4 linked regions of the Pelodiscus sinensis genome follow. The protein of the gene in region 1 binds, or shares a complex with, the protein of each later gene. Links are inferred from orthologs where the notes say so. Each region holds a gene or a part of one and is shown in the gene's direction. Other genes may lie near its edges.

Region 1 (7,945 bases):
TAACTGGTTCAAAGACAGGAAACAAGGGATAGGAATAAATGGTGAGAGATGAACTACAGGGTCTCCCAAGAATTTATACTGTGATCTGTGCTGTTCAAGATAGTCAGTAATGAGGCGGCAAAGACTGAACGCTGTGACAAACATTTCAGACAATAAATAATTATTTGAGATTGTTAAATGCAAAGCTGACTCTGAAGTTACAAAGGATCTAACCGAACTGAGTGACCGGGCAACAAAATAGCAGATGAAATTCAAAATGCTCATAAATGCAAAGTAATGCACATTGAGAAAAAACAGCCCAAGTGTACATAGACAGTTGAGACAGCTAATGTGGAATCATCACTGGAGAGAGAGAGCTTGGAGTCTCTGTGGATAATTCTATTCGAATTTCTACTCAATGCACAGTACTGGTCCAGAAGGCAAATAATACGTTAGGACCTATTAGGAAAGGGATAGAAAATAAGACTGAAAATACCATGTCACTATCAGTCCATGGTGCGTCAATAAATACGGTGTCCGATGCTGGTTGCCAGTCTCAAAAAGGATACAGTGGAAGTGGAAAAGGGCAGTTCTGCACCGGCGGGGGTGTGCACCCCCAGACAGACCCTTCAACCTGCCTGTTGCTTAGCAGGAAGCCCTGGGAGCATGCCTTCACTCTTCCTGCAGCCAAGTACCCCGTCTCGTCACTCCTTGCTAGAGCGGTGCACTGGGGTGCACTGTCTTACTTTCACCTCTAGCTGAGTTACAATCGCTCCTCCCTGGTGCTCTCCACACTCCCCTGGTCATCCAGAAGACGGGGAAAGGGTAGGGCGACGCAGGTCCTCCTGCTCTCCCAGCTCCTGGCTCAGGGCCCACAGGGGCCTGGAGAAGGGGTGCCTGGAACAAAATGCTTGGCCTCTTACCCAGTCCAGTCCCTTCCCCTATGGATCCCGCTATTCCAGAAGCTATAGCCTGGCTGCCTTCCTACAGACAGCTTCTCCTTCACCCTCCCCTTGGCTGCCTCAAAATCCCGTTACACAAGTCTTCCATTTGGAGCATGGTCTGCAGCTGCGGAGGGGCAGGGCCTTCTTGTCCCACACAAGTCCCCTACCCTTAGTGTGGGTCCGTACACCCCATCACCTTTACCCTTTCAAATAACCAGGGGTCATCTGAGGAAATGACTGGGCAGAAGGCTTCATACAAGCAAGAGGCAGTACTTTTTCATACAATACAAAACTAAGCATGGAGCTCATGGCTGTGGGATGTTACGATTGCCAGAAGCGTAGCTGGGTTCAAACAAGACCTTGATACATTAATGGCACATAAATCCATCAAAGGCAATTAGCCAGCATGTTAAGAAAGCACGCCGTTGCTCAGGGAAACCCTACTTTGGTGGGAGAGGAGATGAATCATTCCAGAAATGCTTTTGTTCTATTCACTCCTTCTTGAGCTTTGGTGTGGGCCATTGTCGGTGACAGGACACTGGGCAAGATGGAGCAAGGTGATCCAGTGTGGCAGCTCTTATGGCCTCTAGTCCCCAGCACAGTCCCACTTTCCACTTTGTATTCTTACCATTATCTTTCAACACTGTAGCCACGTTCATAGACTCATAGACTCAGACTTTAAGGTCAGAAGGGACCATTATGATCATCTAGTCTGACCCCCTGCACAGTGCAGGCCACAGAATCTCGCCCACCCCTCTTAGAATAATCCTCTCACCTATGTCTCAGATATTGAAGCCTTCAAATACTTTGAAGGCCCCAACATGCAGAGAGTCCTTCAGCTGTGATCTGTGCCCAATGCTACAGAGGAAGGCGAAAAACCTCCAGGGCCTCTGCCAATCTACCCTGGAGGAAAATTCCTTCCTGACCCCAAATATGGCGATCAGCTAAACCCTGAGCATGGGGGCAAGACTCACCAGCCAGACACCCAGAAAGTTCCCTATAGCAACTCCTATCATCCCTCCATTGACCTATTTCCAACTGGTAATGAATGGTCAATTAGTTACCAAGATCATGTTATTTCATCCAACCATCCCCTTATCATAGAATCAGAACTGGAAGAGACCTCAGAAGGTCGTCAAGTCCAGCCCTCCGCTCTAGGCAGGACCAATCCCATCTAAATCAACCCGGCCAGGGCTTTGTCAAGCCGAGACTTAAACACCTCTAGGGATGGAGACTCCACTACTTCCCTAGGTAACCCATTCCAATGCTTCACTACCCTCCTAGTAAAATAGTTTTTCCTAATATCCAATCTGGACCTCTCCCACCACAACTTGAGACCATTGCTCCTTGTTCTGCCATCTGTCACTACTGAGAACAGCCTCTCTCCATCCTCTTTGGAACCTCCCTTCAGGAAGTTGAAGGCTGCTATCAAGTCCCCCCTCACTCTTCGCTTCTGCAGACTAAACAGACCCAAGTCCCTCAGCCTCTCCTCGTAGGTCATATGCTCCAGACCCCTAATCATTTTGGTTGCCCTCCGCTGGACCCTCTCCAATGCGTCCGCATCCTTTTTGTAGTGGGGGGCCCAGAACTGGACACAGTACTCCAGATGTGGCCTCACCAAAGCCGAATAAAGGGGAATAATGACATCTCTGGATCTGCTGGCAATGCTCCTCTTAATGCAGCCTAATATGCCATTAGCCTTCTTGGCTACAAGGGCACACTGTTGACTCATATCGAGCTTCTCATCCACTGTAACCCCCAGGTCCTTTTCTGCAGAACTACTACTTAACAGGTTGGTCCCCAGCCTGTAACTATGCTTGGGATTCTTCCGTCCCAAGTGCAGGACTCTACACTTGTCTTTGTTGAATCTCATGAGATTTCTAGTGGCCCAATCCTCCAATTTGTCTAAGTCACTCTGGACCCTATCTCTGCCCTTAAGCGTATCTACCTCTCCCCCTAGCTTAGTGTCATCTGCAAACTTGCTGAGGGTGCAATCTATCCCCTCATCCAGGTCATTAATAAAGATATTGAACAAAACCGGTCCTAGAACTGAACCTTGGGGTACTCCACTAGAAACCGACCGCCATCCTGACATCGAACCGTTGATCACTACCCGCTGGGCCCGGCCTTCTAGCCATCTTTCTATCCATCTTACCGTCCATTTATCCAATCCGCATTCCCTTAACTTGCTGGCAAGAATATTGTGGGAGACCGTATCAAAAGCCTTGCTAAAGTCAAGGTATATAACATCCACTGACTTTCCCATGTCCACTGAGCCAGTTACCTCATCATAGAAGCTAATCAGATTGGTCAAGCACGACTTGCCCTTTGTGAATCCATGCTGACTATTCCTGATCACTTTCCTCTCATTCAAGTGTCTCAAAATGGATTCCTTTAGGATCCCTTCCATAATTTTTCCAGGAACCGAGGTAAGACTGACCGGCCTATAGTTCCCTGGATCGTCCTTCTTCCCTTTTTTGAAGATGGGCACTACATTTGCCTTTTTCCAATCATCCGGGATTTTGCCCGATCTCCACGACTTTTCAAAGATAATGGCCAAAGGCTCCTCAATGACGTTTGCCAACTCCTTCAGTACCCTTGGGTGCATTAAGTCCGGACCCATGGATTTGTGTACGTTTAGTTTTTCTAAATAGTTCCTAACCTGTTCTTTACCCACCAAGGGCTGTCCATCTTCTTCCCATCTTGCGTTGCTTAGCACAGAAGTCCAGGAGCCGACCTTGTCCGTGAATACAGAGGCAAAGAAAGCATTGAGTACTTCAGCTTTCCCCACATCCTCTGTCACTAGGTTACCTCCTTCATCCATTAGGGACTGCACACCCTCTCTGATCACCTTCTTCTTGTTGACATGCCTGTAGAAACCTTTCTTGTTATCCTTCACATCCTTAGCCAGTCGCAACTCCATTTGCGCTTTTGCCTTCCTGATAACCCCCCGGCATTCTCGAACTATACATTTAAACTCCTCCCTAGTCATTTGTCCAAGTTTCCACTTTCTGTAAGCTTCCTTTTTGTGCTTAAGTACACCAAGGATTTCCCCTGTAAGCCAATCCGGTCTCCTACCAGGTTTGCCTCTCTTGCTACGCGTCGGGATGGTTTCTTTCTGTGCCTTCAATAAGGCTTCTTTAAAATACTGCCAGCTGTCCTGGACTCCTTTCCCCTTCATGTTAACATCCCAGGGGATTCTTTCCATCAGATCTCTGAGGGAGTCAAAATCTGCTTTTTTGAAGTCCAAGGTGTGTATTTTACTACTCTCTTTCCTTCCTTTGGTCAGGATCCTGAAGTCTACCATCTCATGATCACTGCTTCCCAGGTTGTCACCCACCTCTACGTCCCCTATTAGTTCCTCCCTGTTTGTGAGGAGAAGGTCAAGCTGTGCACGGCCCCTGGTCGGATCCTTCAGCACTTGTACCAAGAAGTTATCCCCAACATTCTCCAAAAACTTCCTGGATTGCCTGTGTACTGCCGTATTGGTTTCCCAACAGATGTCAGGGTGATTAAAGTCCCCCACGTTGGTGAGAGGCAAGCTGGGAGAGGTCACGTCTTTCACTGCCGGTACAGAAACTTCTGTTGGTGAGAGCAAGGAGCTTGGCTCTCTCTCCAGATATTACCTCACCCAAATCATCCAGACCACATTGCCTGGGAACACAGATAGCTTTGTCACAGCTGGAGACTTTATACCCCAATTAGCTCTTCCGCTATCTGAACAGTGATTGCATTTGCATTAAAGACTTGCAGACTTATTTATCACCCTTTTTTTTCCAGCACAGTTAATTTTTAAACACAGCAGTCTTACTAGAGATTTGGAAAAGTTACCCACATAATTTTGTTTGGGCCTTGGCTACACTGCCCCACCTCCCCAGTGCCCCTAGGCCTGGGATACAGCACAAGGGGGCGGGGCCTGGCTACTGTACGTCACTTGGGGACAGCCCCGCCTTCGCTGGATTCCAGTGCTGGGCATGGGCGGAGCTACGGAACGGGGGAAGTTTGTCCCTTGCCAGCCTCTGTCGGGAGGGGGCGTGGCCACGAGCTGCCATTGGCGGAGCGGCCGGCGCGCGCGCTTCCCGCCGGGGTGTGAGGCCCGATGTTCGGCGAACGGGCCGTGGAGCTGGTGCGGGGGCTGCACCGCGCCGCCGACGGGCACCTGCCGCCCTTCAGCGTGAGCCCCTCCCCCGGCCCGCCCCTCCCCCCGCCCCTCAGCGTGAGCCCCTCCCCCGCCCCGCCCCTCCCCCCGCTCCTCAGCGTGAGCCCCCCCCCCGGCCCGCTCCTCCCCCCGCCCTTCAGCGTGAGCCCCCCCCCGGCCCGCTCCTCCCCCCGCCCTTCAGCGTGAGCCCCCCCGCCCCTCCCCCCGCCCTTCAGCGTGAGCCCGCCCGCCCCTCCCCCCGCCCCTCAGCGTGAGCCCCCCCGCCCTGCCCCTCCCCCCGCCCTTCAGCGTGAGCCCCCCCGCCCTGCCCCTCCCCCCGCCCTTCAGCGTGAGCCCCCCCCGCCCCGCTCCTCCCCCCGCCCTTCAGCGTGAGCCCCCCCCCCGGCCCGCTCCTCCCCCCGCCCTTCAGCGTGAGCCCCCCCCCCGGCCCGCTCCTCCCCCCGCCCCTCAGCGTGAGCCCCCCCCCCGGCCCGCTCCTCCCCCCGCCCTTCAGCGTGAGCCCCCCCCCCGGCCCGCTCCTCCCCCCGCCCTTCAGCGTGAGCCCCCCCCCCGGCCCGCTCCTCCCCCCGCCCCTCAGCGTGAGCCCCCCCCCCGGCCCGCTCCTCCCCCCGCCCCTCAGCGTGAGCCCCCCCCCCGGCCCGCTCCTCCCCCCGCCCTTCAGCGTGAGCCCCCCCCCCGGCCCGCTCCTCCCCCCGCCCTTCAGCGTGAGCCCCCCCCCGGCCCGCTCCTCCCCCCGCCCTTCAGCGTGAGCCCCCCCCCGGCCCGCTCCTCCCCCCGCCTTTCAGCGTGAGCCCCCCCCGGCCCGCCCCTCCCCCCGCTCCTCAGCGTGAGCCCGCCCGCCCCTCCCCCCGCCCTTCAGCGTGAGCCCCCCCCCCGGCCCGCTCCTCCCCCCGCCTTTCAGCGTGAGCCCCCCCCGCCCCGCCCCTCCCCCCGCTCCTCAGCGTGAGCCCGCCCGCCCCTCCCCCCGCCCTTCAGCGTGAGCCCCCCCCCCGGCCCGCTCCTCCCCCCGCCCTTCAGCGTGAGCCCCCCCCCCGGCCCGCTCCTCCCCCCGCCCTTCAGCGTGAGCCCCCCCCGGCCTGCTCCTCCCCCCGCCCTTCAGCGTGAGCCCCCCCCCCGGCCCGCTCCTCCCCCCGCCCTTCAGCGTGAGCCCCTCCCCCCGCCCCGCCCCTCCCCCCGCCCTTCAGCGTGAGCCCCCCCCCGGCCCGCCCCTCCCCCCGCCCTTCAGCGTGAGCCCCCCCCCGGCCCGCTCCTCCCCCCGCCCTTCAGCGTGAGCCCCCCCTGCTCCGCTCCTCCCCCCGCCCCTCAGCGTGAGCCGCCCCCCCCGCTCCGCTCCTCCCCCCGCCCCTCAGCGTGAGCCCCCCCGGCCCGCTCCTCCCCCCGCCCCTCAGCGTGAGCCCCCCCGGCCCGCCCCGCCCCCCGCCCTTCAGCGTGAGCCCGCCCGGCCCGCTCCTCCCCCCGCCCTTCAGCGTGAGCCCCCCCGCCCCGCCCCTCCCCCCGCCCTTCAGCGTGAGCCCGCCCGCCCCTCCCCCCGCTCCTCAGCGTGAGCCCCCCCGGCCCGCTCCTCCCCCCGCCCTTCAGCGTGAGCCCCCCCCGCCCCTCCCCCCGCCCTTCAGCGTGAGCCCGCCCGCCCCTCCCCCCGCCCTTCAGCGTGAGCCCCCCCCGGCCCGCTCCTCCCCCCGCCCTTCAGCGTGAGCCCCCCCCCCGGCCCGCTCCTCCCCCCGCCCCTCAGCGTGAGCCCCCCCCCCCGGCCCGCTCCTCCCCCCGCCCTTCAGCGTGAGCCCCCCCCCGGCCCGCTCCTCCCCCCGCCCTTCAGCGTGAGCCCCCCCCCGGCCCGCTCCTCCCCCCGCCCTTCAGCGTGAGCCCCCCCCCCGGCCCGCTCCTCCCCCCGCCCTTCAGCGTGAGCCCCCCCCCGGCCCGCTCCTCCCCCCGCCCTTCAGCGTGAGCCCCCCCCGCCCTGCCCCTCCCCCCGCCCTTCAGCGTGAGCCCCCCCCGCTCCTCCCCCCGCCCTTCAGCGTGAGCCCCCCCCGCTCCGCTCCTCCCCTGCCCTTCAGCGTGAGCCCCCCCGCTCCGCTCCTCCCCCCGCCCTTCAGCGTGAGCCCCCCCCGCTCCGCTCCTCCCCCCGCCCCTCAGCGTGAGCCCCGCCGCCCCCACTCCGCCCCAGCCTTCAGCGTGAGCCTGCTCCGCCCCTCCCCCTCCCTTCAGCGTGAGCCCCCCCACCCCTCGCCGGCCTTCCAACGTGAGCCCACCCCCCCGCCTTCTGCGTGTTCCCAGCGTGACTCCCCTCCAGTAATCCCAGTGCCTGCTGCCATTTGGTCTGTTGCAGGAGGATGGAATCCGACAAGTTCTGGAGGAGATGAAAGCTTTATATGAACAGAACCAGGCTGACGTGTAAGTGCTGGTTGGAGCAGGACAGCTAACGAGCTGCCTACACAAGGGAAAAGGGAAAGCAAGCCGCCTCGTTAGAAATGACAAAGACAGGGATGTTTCTCTTTGTTCATGTGCGTTGAGGGGCCATGAAGATTTCAGACGGGTAGCTGTGTTAGTTTTTCATCTGAAGAAGTGGGCTGTGCCCATGAAAGCTCATGATACCATCTACGTTTTCCATTAGTCTCTAAGGTGCTGCAGGACTATGCACTGTTCAAGTTGTTGTCTTCTTTCTGATGATTAAAGAAAAAAAATCTAAGTCTGAAATACTAAGGATGTGATTGATGTCTGTCTTGTTTTGATGAAGGGCTTCAGTGGAAGATCTGGAATTGTGGATTAGAAACTCAGCCTTTAGTTGAAGGGATCAAATGCTGTATCTTTAACAAGAGCTTTTCATCCAGTAGTTTATCAAGCAGTTGAATTAAAGAGGGGATGTAAA
Region 2 (7,361 bases), on another chromosome or scaffold:
CAGGCCCCAAGGTCCCCTCCTGGAGGCCTTTTGGGGCAACGTATGGCAGAACCAAAAGGCAAGAAGCCAGGCAGCAGTTCATGTTTCTGGAGCCTTCAAGGTATGCCGACGGGGAGATTGGCTGGCTGAAAGAGCAGCAGCACTGCGGACAGCTCCGTGTGGAGAACTACTGAGGACTCTGAGATAAAGCCATGAGGGAAGGGCAGAGATGCTGCCTCCAGGAAGGAAACCCCTGGGGGCACCCTTCTCTCTGAGTGGGGAATAGACTCAGAGGAGCTCCACGGAGGGCACAGAGTTGGGCCCCGGTAGATGTGTATCCCAGAAGGGGTTTGTTGATTCATACACAGCGTGTGAGACTTGGCTAGAGGGCTGAGGCTTTTGAAATTGCAGAGTGCAGGTCGTGTACTCGGCCAGCTCGTGTTCGATGTGGTCAGGTTGGTGGAGCTGAAGGCACAGATGGATGGGGCCAGACTGGGCGTCCCATGGTCTTGCACCAGGAGCAGAGGCCCAGCTGCTATGCACAGGGCTCACCTCCCCTTGGCTGGGGTTGACCTTTAGGACACGGGCACTCTCAAACTCATCAAGCTTAACGGAGCTGTGGAAGGCGCATTCGTCCACGCGAACAGCGGTGCCGTAGCCTGCAGTGAGCAAAGGTCGGGGAGTCAGAATGAGGGGGCCCTGTGAGGCGGAATAGAGACTGGCAGTGGCTACTCACCTCGCAACTCCGACTTCCCCACACAGAACTCTTCTGTCAGCCCAATGCGCATCTCTACAGGGAGGGGAGAGAGTATTAAGGGACTCAGCCAGGGGAGAGCTGCCCAGGCCGGGGCCAGTCGCCGTTGCCCCCAGCCCTGCTTTCTCCCGCTCACAATGGGTATATCTACTCAGCAATGAAACACCAGGGTCTGGCCCACGTGAGCTGCTTCAGGCTGTGGGGCTGCAGCCATTACTCACCGGGACAGCTAGGCAAATAGCTCTTGAGGCGGATTTCTCCCTGGATGTCGACCTTCATGGGGGTACCCTGGGGAGAACATGGGGTGAGGCCCAGACAATGACACGGGTCGGAGCAGGTTCCCTTGGGAGGCGGTGCACGATGGGAGGGCTGCTCAGGCTCTGTGGTGGGGAAGCTGTGGGGCTAAATTTTGTGCCTTAGGGGGTTGAAGGGATCCCCGCCCTGGGCCTGGTTAGAAGCTCAGCCTTTGCTCTGACCCTGTAAATTGATGGAGGGGCTGTGTGTCAGGATGCAAAACCCCCGGCTCACACCTTCCCCTCTCTGACTCACATTGGCAGCAATGACGACTGTCAGCCTCTCCACTATGTCCAAAAACACCTCGTTCCTCGCACCCTGCAGGGAGATAGCCAGTGCTCATGTGACTGCTGCCAGCAGGCCCTCTCCATCCCAGACAGAGGGGCCCGCTCCATGCTAGAGCAGGAAGGGGGGGGACAACATACTGCTGGGGGTGTCTCACCTGGTCCCCATGGGGGGGCAGAACAGGGCGGCTGGTGGCTGAGCTCGGAGCCACTTTACTTTGCTGTGTCTCCGCACCAAACTGAAACCAAAGGGGAGAAGGTCGGAGTAGGGCCCAGGGATGGTGCCTTGATGGGCTCCCAGGGGTTGGGGTTGGGGATACTAGGTACCCCATGACCGGATCTCTCTCAGGGTAACATTTTCCCCAGAGGAGCCGATGGCTAAGGGGGCTGAGGGAATATGGGGGGGCGGGGAGGAATTTGGAGGGCTCGTGAGGCTGCTGCTATTCAGGGGTGCTGGGAGAGAGGAGATCGGAGCTTAGAGTGGCATCATCAGGCCATTGACCGGGGGTGGGGGCTGGGGGGATTTGGGGCTGGGTTTATCAGGGCGACATTGCCCAGGGGATGCAGTGGGGATTTGGGACTCACCAGGCTGTTGCTGCCTGGGAGGGCACAGTGGGAGGTGGGGACACGGGTGGGATTTGGGGGAGTTCTCTAGGCTGATGCTGCCTGGGAAGGTGCTGAAGGGGAGGAAACATGGGGGTGGGGGGAAATCTGGGGGGCCAAGTTCACCAGGCTGATGCTACCCAGGGGCCCAGATCCAGGAAAAGCTGCCCACAGGACACTGGGAGATTTGGTGACGGAGCTCACCAAGTTGACACTGCCCAAAGAGTGCTGGTGGGAAGGAGACATGGGATGGTTCAGGGGCTAGATTCGCTAAGCCAACACTGCCCAGGCAGCACTGGGGGAGCAGGGGATTTGGGGACGTTCACTGGGCGAGCATGGTGTTTTTAAGGGGCTCACAGGTCAGATGTTGCCTGGACACTGGGGGGGAACTGGACTCACCAGGCCGACAGTGGGAGGGGGGGGAAAACTGGACTCACCAGGCCAACACTGCCCAGGTCCAGCAGGCTGAAGGCCTTGCTGAGCACTGGCTCCATCTGGATGAAGTTGCGCAATACATCAGGTGCTGTGGTCTGGACATAGCCATAGTCCTATGGGGGGAGAGTACAGAGTGAGGGGGAGAGCCCACCTGTGCCCCTGCCACTGGCACAGGAGATTAGAGCTGCAAGCTTCCCTGCAGCAGTGCCCCAGGTAAGGTGCTCCTCAGCAGTGCTTGCCTACCAGCATTTCGTCCAACATCTCATAGATGAGGGCGAAGTTGAGGCTAATGGTTTTCTCACTGAGAGCACCACAATAATCATGGATCAGCGTCACCAGCCTGTGGGAAAGGAGAGAGACAGGTGAGGGCAGGGTTGGCTCAGTGCATCCCCTCCCGCTGTGTGTCCCCATCCTCTGAGCTCCACCATATCCCTGTCTACCCCCTGTGCCCTGGGGTTACACCTGCCCCTCTCACCGGTTGAGAAACTCAATGATGGTGAAAGGGGAGATATTGTGCCCTGTCGTAGCCACGAAGTAGAGGCCGGCGTGACGCACGTGGACGAAGTGCAGCCCCTCATGCACCTGTAGCGGAAACACAAGCAGAGTTATATGGACCCTCTCCCTCACCAGGGGGTACCCCTCTCTCCCACATACTTGCCCAGATGCTCTCCACTTCTGTTATCGTAGAGATGCTTCATCCCTATAGTGATGCCCCCACATTACTGCAGAGCTGTGGAACCCACCCCTTTACCATAAAGACAGGTGCCTGGTCCCTAGGCAGGGCTGTGATCTTCCTATAGAAAGTGTCCGTCAGGTCCATGCTGCTCCCTGCTGCCTCACCACGCACTGGGAGGGGGTTAAAGAGAAATCATCCCATCTGGGCAGTATGGTTGAGAGCTCCCCCTCTCCCCCCGTAGTGCCCAGTTAGAAAGCCAGATGTGGAGGTGGTGCCCAGTTGGGGTTCCCCCGGGGGCCAAGATGATCTGCATGGGACACTTGAGGAGCTATGCAAGGGGGCATTTGGAAGGGGGAGGTCTAGGGGGCTATATCAGGGTATTTGGGGAGATGGCCTTGGAGGGGTCCAGAGCACTAGAGGCAGGAGGATTTGGTGTAGGGATGTTAGATGTTTAATAACCATGTAACCACACCAAATCTTGGTGGTTACACAATTATTCGATAGTCCCTGGAGTGCAGCCAGTGTGCTTCTGGTCCCACTCCCAGGGAGCTCCCTGCCACTCCATGCTGCTGCCTCTGTGTTTGTGGGAGGCAGCAAGAGGGCAAGGCAGCTCCACGAAGCCAGCACATGCAGGGAGCTTAAAAGGCAGCCCCCTGTGCATATCGGCTCTCGCTTCACCTTGGGGTGTGGGGCGGGGGGTTCTATGGGATCCAGATCGAAAGAGGGCAAGCGGGGGGAGGGTGTGTAGTTGTTAGGACTTACCGATAAAGCCAGGCTTATCGGTTAATCGCTTACACAACTGTATGCTAACATCCCTCATTTGGGGAGCTGGGGGACGTGGAGGAGTCCGGGGTGCTAGGACGGTGTTTGGGGAGCCCGCAGGGCAGGGTAGGATACGGTCCTTGTAGACGAGTCTGTCTCCCTTGGAGGAGAGAATGAAAATCTGAGACAGCATCTCGGAGGCCTGGGGTGGGGGGAAAGAGAGCGTGAGTGGGGCCCTGCCCTGAAACCTGGCCCCGCCCCCTCCCGGAAACCCCGTCCCCTGCCCGACACCCTCCGCCCCTGCCAGGAAACCCCGCTCTCATTTCGAATCCCAGCCCCTGCTACCGGCTCACCCTGCGCCCCCCGCCCATTACCTCCCTCTTCTCCCCGACTTCGCGGCTCCCTTAAGAGGAGGCGGGGCCTGGGGGAATCTCACCGGCTCTGCTCGAACCCGGCTGTTGCGAGGGGACTTTGCTGTCACGTGATGGAGCCGTGAGGGCGGGGCTTACAGGCTCAGCTCGGCCCGAGCGCCGATTTGCGGGCTGGGCGGATCACGTGGCCCCGGGGTGGGACCAGGTCCTGATTGGCCGGGGCCAGACACGTGGTATGGTTCTGGTTTCGCGCCACTTTTGCTTGTGGCGACAGCCGGGAGGAACCTGAGGAGGGGTCGGTCGGGAGCGGCCTGCGCTGACTCCGGCGGCGACCCGTAGGCCCCGTCCCCGCCATGGCGCCCAAGGACTACGCGGCGGAGAAAGGTGGTTACTGCCGCGCGGCCGGGACGGGGGGGCGGAGGGTCGGGGCCGCGCTGGGGGCAGGGCTGGACTGACACTCTCCCCCCCCCCCCCCCCCCAGGGAAGGTGCAGCGTTTCCTGGAGCAGTTCTGCCGCCCCGGCCCGCATGGCAAGGAGTTCCCCTACCGGGACCGGCTGGTGAGACTCAACGTCCCCCCTCGCCCTGGGGCGCTGCGCCGAGCGCCAGAAGCAACAGCCGCCGGCTGCGCGCTGCCCCTCCCCTCCCAGCGCATTTTCGAGCAGGGCGGCCCGGCTCAGTCCTGGCTTGCGCTGGGTCCAGGGCCTGCCCCCGCTGAGGCGCTGCGAAGTGTATTAGGAGCGGGGTGGGCGGGCAGCCCGGCTCCCTTCCGCTCAGCCCTCCTCCTGCGCAGGGGCGCAACTGCCTTAGCAGCGGCAGCAGCATAGAGCGACAGGAAGCCAGTCGTGAGGGGCGCTGGCTCGTCTTATGGACCAGCTCCCACCTGGCACCCCACAAAGCTACCGCTGATACAGCAGCCGTGTGGAGTGGCGGGGGCTTCTCGGGAGTGAGGCTGGGGTTAGAGAATGGTTGACTAAGCGATAAGAATTCATGAGCTTACCCAACTATTCAATTAACTGATATTTATCATCCCTACTTCCCTCTGCACCCATGTTTCCCACTTCTGGCGGCTCCGGGCCTCACCCCCAGCTGCTCAACCTGTGCTTGCCCCGCAGGTAGCCCTGGCTCAGAGGGAGCAGGTGGCTCTGTATGTGGAGCTGGATGATCTGGCAGAGGAGGACCCTGAGTTAGTGGATGCTGTGTGCGAGAATGCAAAGCGCTACACCCGCCTCTTTGCCGACGCTGTGCACGAGCTGCTACCCCTTCACAGGCAGCATGAGGTAAAGGAGAGGGGTGGTGAGGGAGGAGGGATACTGGTGGGTGGAAGGAGCTTTGGGAGAGTGGCTGAGGCACCTTGACAGAGTCCCTGTTTACCCACTCCAGGTAGTGCACAAGGATGCCCTGGACGTGTACATTGAGCACCGGCTGATGCTGGAGCAGCGTGGCCACGATACAGCAGAGACACGCAGACCCCAAAACCAGTACCCCCCAGAGCTGCTGCGCCGCTTGTGAGTGCATGTGAGGGGAGGTGTGGGGGTCCTGTTATTCCTGGCTCTTTTAAATCTCCCCTGCCCCCAACCAGGTTCTCCTCCCCCTGGCCCCTGCTATGGCTCTAACTCGTGGGCCTTCTCTTCTGTTCCAGTGAGCTCTACTTCAAGGCACCGTCAAGCTCCAAGGCCCGCGTGATCCGGGACGTGAAAGCCGACTGCATTGGCAAACTGGTCACCGTGCGCGGCATCGTCACCCGTGTCACTGAGGTCAAGCCCATGATGGTGGTGGCTACTTACAGCTGTGATCAGTGTGGAGCGGAGACCTACCAGCCAGTGAGTGGAAGGGGCTGGGCTGAGCTGTCCTGCCGGCTGGCTGTCAGCTCAGGGCTGAAAATAAGACCAACCATACTGGGTCAGTCTAAAGGTCCATCTAGACCACTAGCCTGTTTTTTATCAGTGGCCAAAGCGGGTGCTTCAGAGGGAATGAACAGAACAGGTAACCATTCAGTGATGATCCATTCCCAGCTTCTGGCACACAAGCTAGGAACACCATTCTTGCCCATCCTGCCTCATAGCCATCGATGGACCTGTTCTCCATGAATTTATTTAGCTGTTTGAACCGTGTTATAGTGTTGGACATAACCTCTGGCAAAGAGGTCCACAGGTTGACTTTGTGTTGTGCGTGGAAATATTTCCTTTGGATTGTTTTAAGCCTGCTACCTATGAATTTAATTTGATGAATGGCTGAGCTGTTGTCACCAGTCCACAGGACTATACCCCTCTGTTGTGCCAGGGACCCCATTGATGTGACAGACCCCCTAGGTGTTTCTTGAGCCAGCCACATGGACTTATGTCTCCAGAGACTAGTCCCACCCTGTGCTCCAGTCAGCCAGTGAAACAGGTTTACACCTGGGAGAGTCTTGTCTCGCCCTGCAGGAGCCTGTTCACTACGGCGCCCAGGCAGTCAACACAGCCTGGGAAGTCGGGAGCGGGGGGGGGGACATGCCCCTCCTGCCCTGGCAGAGCCAGCCCTAGTGTGGGGGCTGGAGTGGTGAGATCCCGCTTAATGTTTACGTGGTTAACCAACTAGGTTAATCTAATGCTTAACCATTTAACCGATTAGCTGGGATTTTAGATCCCTACCTCACGCTTTCTTGGCCTGTGTTCTGTAGCTGGGGTCTCTGCTTGCTTCCCTGCCGAGGGGTGACGAGATCTCTAGTCACTCGACTGCACCTTGTCTTGTGGGCCCCTGGTGGGTTGAGGTCTATTTCATCCAGCTCCTTCAGCACCCATGTCAGTTACTTGGTCCTCAGAACACATTTGTTGCCCTTCCTTTACTGGGCAGCTAGGAAACATGGGGAAACTGAGACTTATTGAGATCAGCAAATGACGAACGTCCCTACTTTGTCATGCCCCCAGCTGGGCACGAGGGAGCAGCTGTGTTCCCTGGTTAGGTGTGGTGGAGAGGGGTGGCTGGTTGATTCAGACCCTCTTCCCACCCCTGCAGATCCAGGCCCCAACCTTCATGCCGCTGATCATGTGCCCGAGCCAGGAGTGCCAGACCAACCGCTCCGGGGGGCGTCTCTATCTGCAGAGCCGTGGCTCCAAGTTCATCAAGTTCCAGGAGCTAAAGATGCAGGAGCATGTGAGTGGGGGGCAAATGGGAGGGATGAGTTTGGGGATCCCAAAGACCGATCTGGGTGCTCCTGATGACA
Region 3 (7,742 bases), on another chromosome or scaffold:
ATCACCCCACTAATCCTGTACTTTAAATTCTGACACTTTGGTGTAAAACCACTTACCCAATGTGGAAGGTAACAAATGCCTTCATCAGCCACAAATTCTAGCACACCACAATGTGTCATTCGATCTGAATTTTTATTGGTCAGCTTAAATAACATTGGGTATGTAATGTTAAGTCGACCTGGCAGAAGGGTAAAAAAGATACAATATGTTATAAAACTCATAGTAGATTTATAAAGGCTGCAGAGACTGAATATTAGCAGGATAAATAGACAATATCCTAGAGAAATTGAGAGTCTTTCCAAGTACCCCACCTCCAACAAACAACTTATTAAAGGAGATAAAGATCAGACAGAAGACACCTTAGCTAGTAAAAGGAGGAAAGACTGTTTGATATATTTGGTATACTAAAACTATTGACTTCTAGCAGACCCGCATAAATGGAAGAAACCCAGCTTAGTGTCTAGAACCTCCATTCTTCTACTTATAAAATAAACTTTGTGAATTCACTTCAGTCAGTGGAGGCCAAGACAACAGAACCAAGGTGGCAAACACATACAAATATTTGAAATTATTGATAAAGCATGATAATTTCATCAATTTAAGAATTGATACTAGTGTCAGGCAGCTGTTAGAACGCTTAAAACTGTCTGCTTTGCATTTGAACTATGTGCAGATAAAACAAAACCCTTTTAGAAACTATGTAAAAAAATCCTCAAAGTATGGATTTTTCCAGTATATCTTTCTAAATCACATTTTAATGACTATATAAAGCATTTTCTGCTGTTTGCCTACACATACACACAGCACTAAATTTCTAGTGTTCTTACAATAGAATGAAAATTACTTACTGAGTTGATCCAAAGCAGATGGTGGCATAATTACTGCAGAAATTAATAAAAAAGTTACAATAAGAACAGGAACAGCATGGCTACGGAAAGCCACAAAAAATTATACAGTTTGATCATTCCTTCTTGGCAGGCAGCATTGTACCAGGCTTCTGAATTTCTGAGCTACAAATGCTATCAGAATCAGTCTAGACCAGGGCTGGGCAAAATACAGCGTGGGGGCTAGGTCCATCCTGCCAAGCCACAGGATCTGTCCCACGGGGCACCCTGCCAGAACCCTGAGGCACTTGTAAGCTGTCCCTGCATTTCTCTACTCTGCAGGGAGAGGGAGGCTTCATGCAATCTCCCTGCCCCCAGCCCAATCCTTAGCTCCTATTGGCCAGAAACAATCAGCCAATAAGAACTGACCTCAGCCAATCTCCCAGCTCCAATTGGCTGGAAACAGCAAGCCAATTGGAACTGAGATATTGGCCTGAGTGACTGGGGCAGTGGGACTTGAGAGCCGGTGGAGGAAGAGCTTTTATTTTTAAGTGGGCTGGGGCTGCCGGCCAGGAGAGAATTAGGTAAACTCCTCCCGTCCAGCGCCTACCTCTAGCACCCCAACTCATTCCCCCAGATAATCATCTGCACCTCCTGCCCAAGGTGACAACTCCCTCCCAGATTCTGTACCACCTGTTACATCCCTCCCCCAGGACAGAATCTTCTCCTGCACCCACACTCCCATCCTGACCCTACACTCCAATCTCCATACACAAGTCACAACTCCCTCCTCAACCCAAACACCCTGTAAGACCTCATGCCATCTCCTGCACCCCAGTCCCTTATTCCATGAGTCCTTCTGCACCCAATCTTCACCCTAGATCCTCCACAGAAAATTGCGGCCCTTTACCACTTACTAAAATCTTTGAGTGGCCCCCCACCAAAAATTATTGCCCACCCTGGTCTAGACAAAAACATCTAGTAGTTTTAACTCAAAATATAAATTCTGAGTGGGGCAAGTGGGAGAATTTAGAAAGTTTTACAAAACCTAATATTTTAAAAACATTAGCATATTTTCCCAAAGTAATTTTATTTGGTTATAATTAAACAACCAAAATGCTGACAACTCAACAACACAGCATTGGATTTAAATATGGGAGCCTGAAAACAGAGCTGACAAATCTATTCTCCTTGTTCAAACTGAGTGAAACATAAAGAGGAAGTTAAAACAACATATATGGTAAAAACAACAGATTTTTAAATGATTTATATATTAAATGACAAGTAAAGCCACTTGTTTTCTTTTTAAATCATGTGACTTCTAGTTTACACAAAGATAAATCAGGAACATCAACATCAATTAAACTATATTAATGTAAGAAAAGATTATTTAATCTGTGAGTTCCCCTTTAACTGAAATCACAAAGCCATCAATAAGTTTCCATGCTTTATTATGTTTTTGGCCTCATCCTGTTTCTACAATCACCTGCCATATACAATACTACTGAATATTTATATGTAACATTCAGCAGTGTATTATTCAAAATAAAACATGCACATACTCTTCCCGCCTTTCTCCACATCTGATCTGTCATTAGGTCCTGCAAGCATAGATACTGAGAAGCAACGATACTGGGTTGAGAAGCGGTTCTGGAAAACTCGGGGGATTGGATGATCAAACATATTAAAAGAAAACTGTGGGAGGAAAGAAAAGACATTGATCCACTTTGCAAAGACACCAGCAGACTTAAGATTTTTACAAAAGAGATTATTTAAATTCAACGAAGAATACAAGTGATTGTCATTTACAGTAGAGTTCTGATCATCCGGAACCTTTGGGACCTAGGTGGTGCCGGATTATTGGATATGCTGGACTAACAGGAGGTACTATAAGATGGTTTTTATATATATATATATATATATATATATATATATATATATATATATATATATATATATATATATATCACTCTCTCTCTCTCACACACACACACACACACACACACACACACACACACACACACACACAATATACTGTATATAAAGTGTTTTTAACCCTTTTTATTATAGCACAAGCACTGTCCAGCGTCACACAATGCTAGTGGCAGACTGACTCAGTCCAGTACGGTTTTGTTCAGTTCAGCTGCTGCTGCTGCTGCCGCCGCCGCCTTGTGACTCGTTTTTTGCCAAAGCTCACTCACTAGGCTCTTGCCATTTTGATGCCAGACTATCAGGCATCCGTACAATTGGATGCTGGACTATTGCAGTTTTACTGTATTTACTTCTTCAGCACAGGGTAAGAGATATTCAACTTAGGTGTGGCAGAAGGATATTTTTGTACAATTACACTTTTATTTTAATGATAAAAGAGATGACAGTGCATATAGTATAAAAATAAGCACAGTCTTAGGTCTTCATCATTCCTGAAAGCAAATCATGCATAGAAATACAGTAAGGTAGTAAAACAAACGAAAGGGAATATACTCAGAATTTCTCAGGAAATACTCAGAATTAAGGGGAAAGGAGGCGACTCAGACTAAATCTGTGGTGTCCAACCAGTATTGAAGCTATAGCGAATTAGCCACAATCAACTGGCCAAACAGCCAAATGTGGCTAGTGACTAGTTTGTTGGGCACCACGGCTGTAAACTTTTTAAGATTACTCCATATATAATAAGGAGTGCTGTGGCACCTTATATATTAATAGATGTGTTTGGGCATAAGCTATTGTGCATAAAAACCACTCTGTCAGATGGCTGACAAAGATGCATGCATCTGATTAAGTGGCTTTTACATACAAAAGCTTATGCCCAAACACACTGGTTAGCCTATAAGGTGTCACAGGACTCTTGTTTTTGCAGATACAGACAAACATGGCTCTGAGACTTGTCTCCATATATCACTACACAAAAAAGCCACCCTGCAACCATCAATGAGTGGGCAGGCTAAATTGGGGTTGCTTTCTTAGCTATCCTCTGCTCTTGGGAGCAAAGACTTTGCTGGAGAGGTTTCCAGAGAGGGCTTTAAAAACCTCTCCTGTTCCAGTCGGCTACTTGTGAAAGGAAAGGCGGCGGGGCCGGGAGGGAGGGATGGGCGAAGAGGAGGGTTGTTTACTTATGTCCCAGACAGGCTCCCTGAGGCGGCTCCCTCAATGCGTTGGGCCCAAAGGGACAAACTCCGACCCCCTCGCAGAGCAGTGACGTGTTTGTTGCTGGACAGGCTCCCCTAGCGCCTCCCCTGCCCGGGCACAACAATGCACGCGCGATGACTCCGCAGCTTTCTCCGTCCCGTCCCCCTGCGCCCCCCGTTCTTAGGCACCCCCACAAACCCCCGGAAAGGCTTTTACCATCCTGTCGCGCCGTCTTCTTGCTTATACAGCTCTCGGCAGGGGATCCCAGAGAAGCGCCTTCTCGTCTGGGCAGGATCAATGCAGCGACGGCTGCTCCTCCCCCCACAGGAAATCCTCTGCTGAGGGAAAGGGAAGCAGGGAGGAGGAAATCACTGGGCCCTGCCCCTTTGCTCTAAGAGTGACTTTCAGTTTCGACAGGCGTGGGGGCTATCCTACCAGCGGTGAACGCGATCAGCAGAAACCGAACGCCCTCATAGGTCTCAAAGGCGCGAAAAACATTTGGGAGGTTTGGTCCACTGTTCCCACTAAACTACATTTCCCAGAATGCAACGGCTTATCAATAGCCCCTTATTGAGAAAGCCAAGAGACTTCCGGTGCAGCCCCTTGGAGAAAAGGCGGAAGTTGCTTCACAGGCGTCAACATCGTTTTTTGTTAAACAAACGATTTTTCCTATTCACTCCTGAAACAGTTATATTTTAGAGCTTATGGCTTGTTTATATCTAATAGAGGGGCTGGTGAGGAATCTTGCCCATGTCAACAATGGCGACGATGATGGGCGATGTAGACGGACACACAAAATGGCGGTTTCAGGAGCGCTTCGTGGCGATTGGCCAATCGCTCGGCTCCTCGATCGCCACAATCGCAATGTGGTTGGTGGAGGGCTGAGACGATCGGATGGATAGTCCAATCAGAGCTGTAGAGATACAAAGTACTGGAATGTTATTGGGGCGTGGCCAGGACGCTGAGACCAATGGGAATTGGCGCGATTTGGCGCCTGCTTTGAGTGAGACTGAGGAGATCCGAACGGAGGGAGCAACACCAGCAGTCGCCGCTCTCCCGCCTTGCAGCGCGGCGGTAGCGGCCCGGTCTCGGCAATGTTCCTCTCCGACTTCCGTAAGGAGTTCTACGAGGTGATAGTGACTCAGGTAAGCGGCGTCCGGGGCGGGGGGGAGTATGAAGCCCGAACCGGAGCGGAGACAAGCCCAGGGGGAGCGAACCCGCATCCTGAACGGGGCCTACTAACTCCTGGCCCAGTGAGGTAGCGGGTTCCAGCAACCGCCGGGCCGCCCTGCTCCAGCTCCTGTCTCTCTCCCCGCTCCCCGCCAGCAGGTGCTTTGAGGGTAGAGGGGTCGCTCGCGATGGGAGGGCTCCTAGCTAGACTCTGGAGGGTCTTGCGCCTTTCTCCGCGCAACGCCCCGTGGGTCGGGCTGGATCCGCGCTCCGCAGGGTCCTGATAGGGCGGGACCGTGTCACTTAGGGAGCCGCCATACCGAGCCGGGGCCTATGCATTGCCCTGCTTTCAGCCTCATGATAGGCGCTGGGTTCCCCTCCTCTTCCCCCTCCAGAGCCCTGCACCCTGCTCCTCTCTCTCCCACCGGCTGCTGGTGCCAGATGCTGGTTTCAGATCGAACTCGACTGAGCAGGGAGGGTTTGCATTCAAGTTCTGGCTCGGTTGCCCGTAGTGGTCAAGTGGAGTCCTCACCTGGGTACATCACCGCTCAGAGTGTGCTTTGCTTTATTGCCTGGATTCTTTGGAGTGCACTCAGAGCTGAGACGCAAAATGTCTCAGAATCAGCAACAAGGTTTTGGAATGTTTTGAATTGTGAAATGGACAAAGAGCATTTTGGTGAGGACAAGGAGCGGTGACATCTACCTGGGTGTAGCTTGTTGAGAGAAATCCCAGATAGGGAGCTATGTGGAAGTAAAAGCTACTAGGTGCCTTGTGGCCGCTAGGATTTTATATTGAGTTTTACATCAAGCTAGCTGTCTTGATGTAAAAATCAATTACAGGGTTATCTTGACATAAGCCGCTTATGTCAATCTTGCTGTAGGTCTTTATTTAAATTTGGCTTCCAGCATTGGTCATATAAATGCTTCTCTGTGCTTATTTTGTATTACCATCTCCATCACTGTTGATGTAATTAAATCAACACAGTGTCACTGCATTGCATACAGCAACTTATGGCTTTCAGAAGCTGTCCAGTGATGCCCCACATTGATATACAAGTTCTCCAGGCGATGATGCCCACCACTGATACAAGGAGCTACGTGTGTGCTAGGGATGTTAGAAATCCTTTATTTTACTAATTGTGTAACTGCAACAATTCTTAGCCGTTACATGATTATTTGATGTCCCCAGGGGCAGGGCCGGCAGTCAGTATACTCTGGCCCACTCCTGGGAAGTCCCCTGCCACCTTGCAGCTGCTGCCTCCAATTTTTAATCAGCTGTTCTCATGATCCGACTCTCACCTGCCACTCTATGCTGCTGTGTCTGTTTCAGAGACAGCAGTGTGGTGTGATTGGTGGGAGTTGGTCCACCAGGGGAGCTGGTTTAAAAATGAGCTCCCTGTACAGACTTCCTGCTGCCCTTCAATGTGGCTTCTCATACAGCCTGCCTCTCCACTGCTGCTTCCATGGCAGCAGCTTCTGTCTGTGGGGAGCTTGGGCCCACAGTAGAAAGGGGCTGCTCCTGCCTTTGATATAGAGGCAGCAGCACAGGGTGGCGGGCAGCTCCCCTGCATGCTCTTCATATAAAACTTGAACTGATGGGCTGGGACTGAGCCAGCTTGCCAGTCTGAGTTTTAAAGGCAGAGCATGGAGTGGGGTGAGATTTGTTGAGGTTAACTGGGACTGTTAACCAGTAAGCAGTATTTATCAAGTGAACAGTTATCCGGCTGGCCAGGAACATCCCTAGTGTATGCATCAACGAGCAATTTTAAAACTGCAATTGTCTGTATGGTAACCTAATTTTGTTGTGTAGACATGGCCAAAAACTATCAAATGACACTAATTAATATATACCAAGCACTGTCAAGAGTTGTTCTTTTGGTTTCAGAATATAGGGTTATATAAAGTTAGAATGAGAGATCACTTATTTGATTGCAAAAATTTTAAAGAAAAATCCTGTAATAAAATTAATTTACATCAGTTATACGATTGCCAGCTTTTGATAAATGCTTAACATAATTTCAGACATATGAATGCTGAAAATGTTGTCATTTTACCCTTTACATTTTGAAATACAGATTTTAAGATAAGGAAGAACAGATTTATTGAACTTCATCAAAGGGTCAAGACATCAGATGTCAAAGCTGCTGCTTGATAACAGAAGGATCCCATTAGGAAACTGGCATGCCTTTTCACAGAAGAAATCACTTTCTTATGAGTTATTTAGAGCTTCTTGTTAAATCTTTATTGGAAAAACATGTTGCAAAAACATGATATTGCTATAACTTTTTTTGAAAATCGCTATACAGGCAGTCCCCGGGTTACGTACAAGATAGGGACTGTAGGTTTGTTCTTAAGTTGAATCTGTATGTAAGTCAGAACTGGCGTCCAGATTCAGACACTGCTGAAACTGACCGCCAGTTCTGACTTACATACAGAATCAACTTAAGAACCCCAGGCATCCCCAAGTCAGCTGCTGCTGAAACTGATCAGCAGCTGATTCCAGGAAGCCCGGGGCAGAGCAACTCTGCCTGGGGCTTCCTGTAGTCAGCGCTGGTCAGTTTCAGCAGAAGCTGACTTGGGGACGCCTGGGGCAGAGCAGCTGGGGTGCTGCTGGGTTGC
Region 4 (7,132 bases), on another chromosome or scaffold:
TGTTCACAAATATATGAATATATTTGGGGCCATACTTTTTTCAAAGTCTCATGATCACTATATTCTCTATGGAATTCTTCTATTCAGGCTTTTTTTCAGGCTACTGTTTTTGGCTACATTAGTTACCACCCTTCGAATTTACTGCTGACCACACTAAAAACAGGCTGGAATTTTCAAGAATGTTGATGAGAATTAAGCTCCTGACGCCTTCTGAAATCTGCTTAGTGTTTTTCAAAATCCCACCCTTATCTTTGATCCATTCCCAGTCCATTTGCCAGTATGTCTTTGATTGAAAGGGAAACAAAGTGGGTTTCAAAAATATAATTCTGCTTAAGACATCAAAAACTGTGAGAACAACTCAAATTGCTACTTCCCACGAGTGCACTGATGCTCATATTTCTTTCAAACCTACTCAAAGCTTGGTATGAGAGACTGATAAACAAAGCTATAATTCTTGATAAAAGGAAAATAAAATCTTTAACAATGATAGAAAAGTTCTGTTATTGTACAGATTACCATTCTTAGTAACAGTGCAGGTGTTTTATTGTTATTTTATTTCTCAACATGCACAATTAAAGGCAGGGCAAACAAGGTTTAATTAAGCAAAGAAAAAATGAATTCCCCCAAAAATGTAAAACATTTTAAAAGTTCTAAACAAGACAAGGACAAAAGAAGTCAAAGTATGCTCTCAGTTATACCAATGTAAGTCTTGAGTAACTCCAGTGAAATCTGTGAGGTTACTCTGGAGTTATACTTGTGTACCCAAGATCAAAATCTGGCCCAAAGAGTTTGACTTTGTGCTAGAGCATTATCTCTGGTCTATTGAGTTGTAACACTAAAGTGAATGTGGCATTTGAATTACATTCCAATAATCTGCCTCAGCATGAAAACAATTTAACAATTAAAACTTTGGCATTAAGAGATCATTAAGATATACTTAAACCTACTTAGCATTAATTTGTCTGGATTTTCACTGTGTCCCTTATTAAGCAGAATGACCCATGTTTCCACTACAAAAAACAACCCTAACCACATAGATTCAAATTCATACTCACTGTGGTCTTTATACAATTTGTGGATAAGGCCAGATTCACCCCTTGGGCACAATGGAGTGCAATTTGCAGCTTCCCTGCTGTGCCTGTTAGAATGGCTGCACTAAAGATTCAAACTTCAAACACAGGCAATTGTGATATCACAGGTGCTCTCCACTAGGGTTCTGATAGGGAAGGATAGCTTTAAAACTCAGTCGACATAGAATGTCCAAGGCTAGTCTAGACTACATGCCTCTGACGACAGAAGCATGTAGATGAGGCCACCAGGCATAGAAAAATGAAGCGGCGATTTAAATAATCGCCGCTTCATTTAAATGTACATGGCTGCCGCGCTGAGCCGACAAACAGCTGATCAGCTGTTTGTCGGCTCGGCGCTGTAGTCTGGACGCGCGGGTGTCGACATCAAAGGCATTTGTCGACCACCCAGGTAAACCTCATCCCAGGAGGCATACCTGGGTGGTAGACAAATGCCTTTGATGTCGACACCCGTGCGTACAGACTACAGCGCCGAGCCGACAAACAGCTGATCAGCTGTTTGTCGGCTCAGCGCGGCAGCCATGTAAATTTAAATGAAGCGGCGATTATTTAAATCGCTGCTTCATTTTCCTATGCCTGGTAGCCTCATCTACATGCCTCTGTCGCCAGAGGCATGTAGTCTAGACGTAGCCCAAGAGAGGCAAGGATGGTTTGTACCCCTATGCCCCAGAAATCCAGGCTGACTTCCTGCTGTCAGCAATACACTACCAGAGTTGCATCATTGTGAACTTATTCCAGTGCCTGTAACATCCAGTCACAAAGGTTTAGCTGAAAAGATGAGCCTAAGACAATATGCTGACAAATTTGAGATCTGACACCTGTCAGGAGAAAATTCCAGACATGGGCCTTCCAACCAAGACCTGCTTTCACCGAGATCGGTTGATTTCAGCCATCACAGAGGAGATGGCCACACTCTAAAACAAACAAATACCAAATCACGTAGGCCCAGATATTCAAAGAGGCACCTCAAGTCCATGCAAGTGAAGGGTGTATCTCAATACCTTTCATATTCCAGGCCAGACAACTTTACATCAAATTAAAAAAACAACACTTTGTCTTGCACCAAGGTATTGATGGGAAGCCACTAGTTTATAGAATGCCACAAGAACATACCTGCAATCTGCCCCCGATTTAGACAGGGTAGCTTAAAGCTTCTGAATGATTTGGTTTTAGTGTTAATTTAAATTCTTGGAAGGAAATGCTGGCCTCATTACAGTCAAGGAGACTTCTGTCAGGATTCCTCCTTACATTTTTTAAATCTAAAAGGCTACGTCTAGACTGGCATGATTTTCCGCAAATGCTTTTAACGGAAAAGCTTTCAGTTAAAAGTATTTGCGGAAAAGAGCGTCTAGATTATCACGAACGCTTAAAAGTATCCGTGCCAATCTAGACGCGCTTTTGCGCAAAAAAAGCCCCGTTGGCAATTTTTGCAATCGGGGCTTTTTTGCGCAAAACAAATCTGAGCTGTCTACACTGGCCCTTTTGCGCAAAAGGACTTTTGCCCGAACGGGAGCAGCATAGTATTTCCACAAGAAGCACTGATTTCTTACATGAGATCATCAGTGTTCTTGCGGAAATTCAAGCAGCCAGTGTAGACAGCTAGCAAGTTTTTCCGCAAAAGTAGTTTGCGGAAAAACTTGCCAGCCTAGACACAGCCAAACTGTAACTTCTTTGGAAGCAGAGACCGTCTTCCTACTGAATCCGGTGCAACATGTCATTTTAAGGTCCTTTCGCCACAACTTTTGGGGCAGAGGGAGAGGGGTTGCCCAGAAGGTAGGCGTTCCCAGGCTATGTCTAACACAGCAACATTATGTCTAGACTACCTAGTTTTGTCGACAAAAGTGGACTTTTGTTGACAAAACTATACCAGCGTCTACACTACCGCTGAATTCTGTCGACATAACGTCGACAGAACTCAGCAATTTTGTCGACGCTGGTATACCTCATTTTACGAGGCATAACACCTTCTGTCGACAGAAGGTGTTATTGCCTGTAACGTTGCGTCCAGACTACGGAGTTCTGTCGACAAAGCAGCTTGCTTTGTCGACAGAACTCAATATGTCTGGACGCTCTTTGTCGACGGAAGTTTTGTCGACAGTATGTGTCGACAAAACTTCCGTCGACAAAACGCGGTAGTCTAGACGTACCCACAGTCTGCAGCGATGCAGCTGGCAGTTATTTCGACATACAGTCCAAATCATGTCGAGCTGGAGGGCCACTTGCTGCAACCCGTGACCCTCATTGTAGAAGGAGCAAGGGAAGCGGGAGGCAGAGGGCTCTGGTTTGAAATACCTGCTGTGCAGACAGCACCAACACTTGAATGAAGCTACTCAAGGGCAGTAGCTCCACTGGCGGGTTAGTTCCGAGTTAAGCCCCGCAGTGCACGGCGCGCCCGGGCAGGGCTGGTGGAGCCAAGCCGCACCACTGCGAGGGCAGGGCGGTGTCTCCCCAGGGTGTCACTGCGACTCCACCTGCCCGGGGAGGAAAGGGGCCCGGGCGTGTCCGGGGGTGCGGGCGAAGGGCGCTCGGCACTGGGGCTTGTTACCCGCGGGGGGGGGGGAGGAGGGGGGGTCTGCGGGCACGTCGTTCGTCGCTGAAAATGGGGATCCCCCCCCGCCCCCATCTCACCCGCGGCTACGCCCCTCCCACTCTACCGCCCCTCCCCCCTCACATGCTCCGCCTCCCGCCGGCCCCCGGGCCTGCGCTCCGACGACGCGCTGTCGGTTACCGGCCGCCCCCGCTGGAGTCATGAGGCAGCAGCACGCGCCCCCCCCCCCCCCCCCGCGCTCGCGCCGCCCGCCCGCAACAATCCATCGGGGGGGGGGGAGACAGCCCCCGCGTCAGGCACAAAGCGGCCCCTCCCCCACACCCCGCGGGACCGGGCACCCCTCGCGGCTATTTGCAGCGTGACTGACTGACGAGGGCGCGCGCGCTGCCCTCGATTGCTCTCGCCTGGCGCCGGCTTGCGGAGCGGGCAGAAAGCGGCGCATGCGCGCTGTCGCTCCCCAGCCTTGGCCGCTGCTTCTGCCTGACCGCGGCGGAGCGCGGGAAAGGGGGTTGGGAGGTTGCCGCCCCGCCATGTCCGAGGCCTATTTCCCCGTGGAGCCCGGGCTGGGGCCCGAGGAGAACTTCCTGTCGCTGGGAGACATCCTGATGTCCCAGGAGAAGCTGCCGGGCCGCGTGGAGGCGGCTCTGCCCCGCCTGGCCGCCGTGCTGGGAAAGGGCTCGGGGGCCGGCCAAGGCGACTGCATCCCGGAGGTAACGCGCGGCCGGAGGGCGCCGGGACTACAACCCCCGGCAGCCACCGCGCGCTGGTGGGGGCGGGGCTTGTCCCTTCCCGCTGGCCTGAGGAGCGCTCCGTTGTGTGAGTGACGGGCTCCCGGCTGGAGCGGGGCATGCTGGGAAATGCAGGCGCCAGCGCGGTGTGACCAGGGCCCAATGGGGTTCTCCCCGGGAGCGCGCGCTCGGCCTGGGCTTGCGCGAGGCTGCGGGGTGGGCCCGCTGGGCTCCAGCACGTGTACGGCCGCGGGGGGGTCTCTTCGGAACCAGGTCTCCCTAGGCAGCCGGGGACTTCGCTTGCTAACCGCCCCCGGGCTAGGGCCTGCCCGCGTGCTGCCCGCGAAGCACTGCAGCGAGGCGTCCCGCAGGTCTTTGCTGCGAGTTGTGGGCGTCGTCCAGGGACCCTGCCCTGCCGTTCATTGCACCGCCAGCAGCACCCCAGCATCGCTGGCACCTGCAGGGTGGAGGTCTGAATCCCCCCGAGGGGCAGCCAAGTTAGTCGGCAACTGGGGTGGGCAAAAGCCTCGCAGGGGCTGGATCCAGCCCCTCGCATGTTGCCTGGGAGCTGGAGACGTGGGAGCTTCTTTCAACTGCTTCTTAAAGGGCTCCTGCCTTCCCCATGTCTGTCGGGCAGCGGGTTGCCTGGCAGCCACAGGCCACAGGGCAACACAAGAGCCCTTTAAAGAGAAACAGTTAAAAGGGCTGGCAGCTCCCGGCCCCTCTAGCGCGTTGCCAGGGAGCTCAGCCCTTTCACCTGCTTCTATCTAAAGCTGTTACCTGACAGCTCCAACCAGCGGGCACAAGGCCTTGAAACCAAAGCAGTAGAAAGGGCTCATAGCTCTTGATCCCACCAGCTCCTTGCCTGTGAGCTGCCTGTGAGACAGAGTCCTTTCAACTGCATCTTTCAAAGGGCTTGCGGGTGCCAGGCAACAGGTTAGTGGGGAGGGGGGAAAGCTGTGTTATGTGAATTCTAAACCTCCACCCAGACAACTCTGGGAGAAGGCTAGCCCCTGGTACCTTTCCCTCTGCTCCAGGTCTCTTCCACCAGAAGTCTGGGGGGGACCCCAGGTCAAGTACAGCTGCCAGTTGGGTAGCTCTCAATCCCTCCCCTTCTCCGCCTGAGGCCCCACCCCTTCCAGGTCTGAAATTTGTGAAGTGGCCCCCTCTTCAAAAATTATTACTCACCCCGCTATAACTGGAAAAACTTAAAAAACGAATAGTCTTGCAGCACCTTAAAGACTAACAAAACATGTAGATGGGATCATGAGCTTTCGTGGGCACAACCCACTTCTTCAGATGAATGAATCCTGACAGTTGTAACTCTGAAGTGTTATGGTTGTCTTTTTCAACAGTTTACAACTGAACGTTGTAAACCTTGAACTTGAAACCTTATTATGCAGAAGAAAAATGCTACTTTTACCCATTTTAATTTAAATTACACAAGCACAGAAACCGTTTCCTTTGACAAATCTTTTTAAATGTTTTCATTTTAAATCTTTTTAGAAGTTTATTTTTAATAGCTTACTTTTAACACTTGATTATTTATTTATTTATTTATTTTGGCCTCTGCTGCCTGGTTGCAGTGAATGATTGATTCTAAGGATGTTAAAATGTGGTTAATTGACTAGTCAATGGAATTTCCATCGACTAGTCGATAGGCACTTCCACATTCCTCCTTTGAAATGTACAAGAGCCCCAGGAGGCTGACTCCGGACTCCACCTGGGTGCGTCTTTGAAATGTACGAGAGTCCCCAGCGGAGGCCAGAGTCGGGGGGGGGGGGGGGGGACTCCAGCAATGGAGTGATGGGGGGCTGGAGCACCAGTGCGGGATCCCCAGTGCTTGGGAGGGGGGAGGGAGCCCTGAGCCTTGGGGCCTGGATCCAGGCAAGCTGCGGGCCAGGCCTGAAGGTTCCCCACTCCTTCCTTAAATTTACTTCCTGGAGTGGTCCTGTTGGCGGAATCATATGAGCAAAGTTGCAGATATTTGAAAGTGTCTGCAGGATCCTGGGGCTCTACTTGTAAATTTCCTTACACTGTAGTATTGTTTTTATCCTTTCAGGGTTTGTTTACGCGCCGCGCGCACTCACACGCTCTCTCTCTGGTGTCTATAGGCGTTATCTTTCTCAAATAAAAATCTGATTTACATTCGTTTCCACTACTACACATTGACATCAAATCACTCTCTGGTGAATCTTCAGTGTTCATCTAAATCTCATGTTTTTTGTTATCCTGGTCAGAGTTTATTTACCTCTGTTTCTGGGGGGTGGGGTTTCTGTTGTGTGCATGCAGGGCTCAAAGGTGGAAATACCCCTATGGCTAGCAAAAGGATTGTATGACATCAAACGGAGGATCCTTTCAGTGGAACTGCCTAAGATTTACAAGGAAAGCTGGCGGACGGTGTTCAGTGCTGATGCCAATGTGGTTGACCTTCATAAAATGGGGCCATACTATTATGGTTTTGGCTCCCAGCTCTTGAATTTTGACAATCCAGAGAATCCAGAAATAGCTCAGACTATACTGCAGGCAAGTATCTGAAACCATATTTCCTTTGGTAGCTTTGGATTCCTTTTTCTTTGCTGCGCTCAGGCAAACCTTCTTCTGTTGTAACCATGGTTTTAGCTTAAATAAGGACTTCCAGGTCAGAGAACATAAGAACAGCCGTACTGGGTCAGACCAAAGGTCCATCTAGCCCAGTATCCTGTCTACCAACAGTGGCCAGCACCAGGTACCCCAGAGAGGGTGGACCGAAGACAATGATCAAGCGA

What was found.
Region 2: GINS1 (region 1) and MCM7 share a complex: the UniProt entries of both Homo sapiens proteins name them as parts of the CMG helicase complex. The link is inferred for Pelodiscus sinensis from reciprocal best matches to the Homo sapiens genes GINS1 and MCM7.
Region 3: the proteins of GINS1 (region 1) and CDC45 are in contact, whole or in part, in a cryo-EM structure (PDB 6XTY), measured with the Homo sapiens proteins. The link is inferred for Pelodiscus sinensis from reciprocal best matches to the Homo sapiens genes GINS1 and CDC45. Residues at the interface, in NP_066545.3 of Homo sapiens: Leu146, Tyr147, Glu149, Arg151, Glu158, Thr165, Ser166, Val167, Leu168, Lys170, Lys171, Asn172, Ser173, Gln174, His175, Phe176, Leu177, Pro178, Leu195; in NP_003495.1 of Homo sapiens: Arg18, Gln37, Phe40, Gln41, His44, Val45, Gln46, Tyr47, Thr48, Leu49, Val50, Pro51, Glu64, His65, Gln68, Phe69, Thr394, Asp395, Ile398, Leu401, Asp402.
Region 4: the proteins of GINS1 (region 1) and GINS3 are in contact, whole or in part, in a cryo-EM structure (PDB 8Q6O), measured with the Xenopus laevis proteins. The link is inferred for Pelodiscus sinensis from reciprocal best matches to the Homo sapiens genes GINS1 and GINS3. Residues at the interface, in NP_001085502.1 of Xenopus laevis: Met1, Phe2, Cys3, Glu4, Ile7, Ile10, Arg11, Leu13, Gln14, Ser17, Asp18, Gly19, Gln20, Leu21, Glu49, Arg55, Asp57, Leu58, Pro60, Thr61, Lys63, Phe64, Arg65, Cys67, Cys68, Arg71, Arg74, Cys75, Val77, Ala78; in NP_001080618.1 of Xenopus laevis: Trp2, Pro4, Tyr5, Met6, Pro7, Val8, Glu16, Asn17, Phe18, Leu19, Ser20, Leu21, Glu22, Asp23, Leu24, Leu25, Ser27, Gln28, Ser37, Phe39, Pro40, Arg41, Leu42, Phe44, Leu45, Pro63, Trp65, Leu66, Gly69, Leu70.

The regions. Positions count from the first base shown.
Region 1 is NC_134713.1:198,381,242-198,389,186, reverse strand, and holds the start of GINS1 (DNA replication complex GINS protein PSF1), read left to right. Parts: upstream 1-4,939; 5' UTR 4,940-5,022; coding exon 5,023-5,097; intron 5,098-7,405; coding exon 7,406-7,470; intron 7,471-7,945. UniProt on the Homo sapiens protein: Required for correct functioning of the GINS complex, a complex that plays an essential role in the initiation of DNA replication, and progression of DNA replication forks.
Region 2 is NC_134734.1:7,475,526-7,482,886, reverse strand, and holds the start of MCM7 (DNA replication licensing factor MCM7), read left to right. Parts: upstream 1-4,349; 5' UTR 4,350-4,511; coding exon 4,512-4,542; intron 4,543-4,639; coding exon 4,640-4,716; intron 4,717-5,271; coding exon 5,272-5,436; intron 5,437-5,539; coding exon 5,540-5,664; intron 5,665-5,798; coding exon 5,799-5,979; intron 5,980-7,153; coding exon 7,154-7,291; intron 7,292-7,361. Other genes in the region: AP4M1 (AP-4 complex subunit mu-1), read right to left, coding at 532-638, 716-769, 955-1,021, 1,283-1,345, 1,470-1,550, 2,352-2,462, 2,593-2,689, 2,825-2,931 and 2 more. UniProt on the Homo sapiens protein: Acts as a component of the MCM2-7 complex (MCM complex) which is the replicative helicase essential for 'once per cell cycle' DNA replication initiation and elongation in eukaryotic cells.
Region 3 is NC_134725.1:17,708,534-17,716,275, forward strand, and holds the start of CDC45 (cell division control protein 45 homolog), read left to right. Parts: upstream 1-4,731; 5' UTR 4,732-5,047; coding exon 5,048-5,098; intron 5,099-7,742. Other genes in the region: UFD1 (ubiquitin recognition factor in ER-associated degradation protein 1), read right to left, coding at 57-178, 849-881, 2,387-2,519, 4,170-4,172. UniProt on the Homo sapiens protein: Required for initiation of chromosomal DNA replication. Core component of CDC45-MCM-GINS (CMG) helicase, the molecular machine that unwinds template DNA during replication, and around which the replisome is built.
Region 4 is NC_134722.1:46,266,776-46,273,907, forward strand, and holds the start of GINS3 (DNA replication complex GINS protein PSF3), read left to right. Parts: upstream 1-4,131; 5' UTR 4,132-4,166; coding exon 4,167-4,346; intron 4,347-6,656; coding exon 6,657-6,890; intron 6,891-7,132. Other genes in the region: diacylglycerol O-acyltransferase 1, read right to left, coding at 3,760-3,838. UniProt on the Homo sapiens protein: Required for correct functioning of the GINS complex, a complex that plays an essential role in the initiation of DNA replication, and progression of DNA replication forks.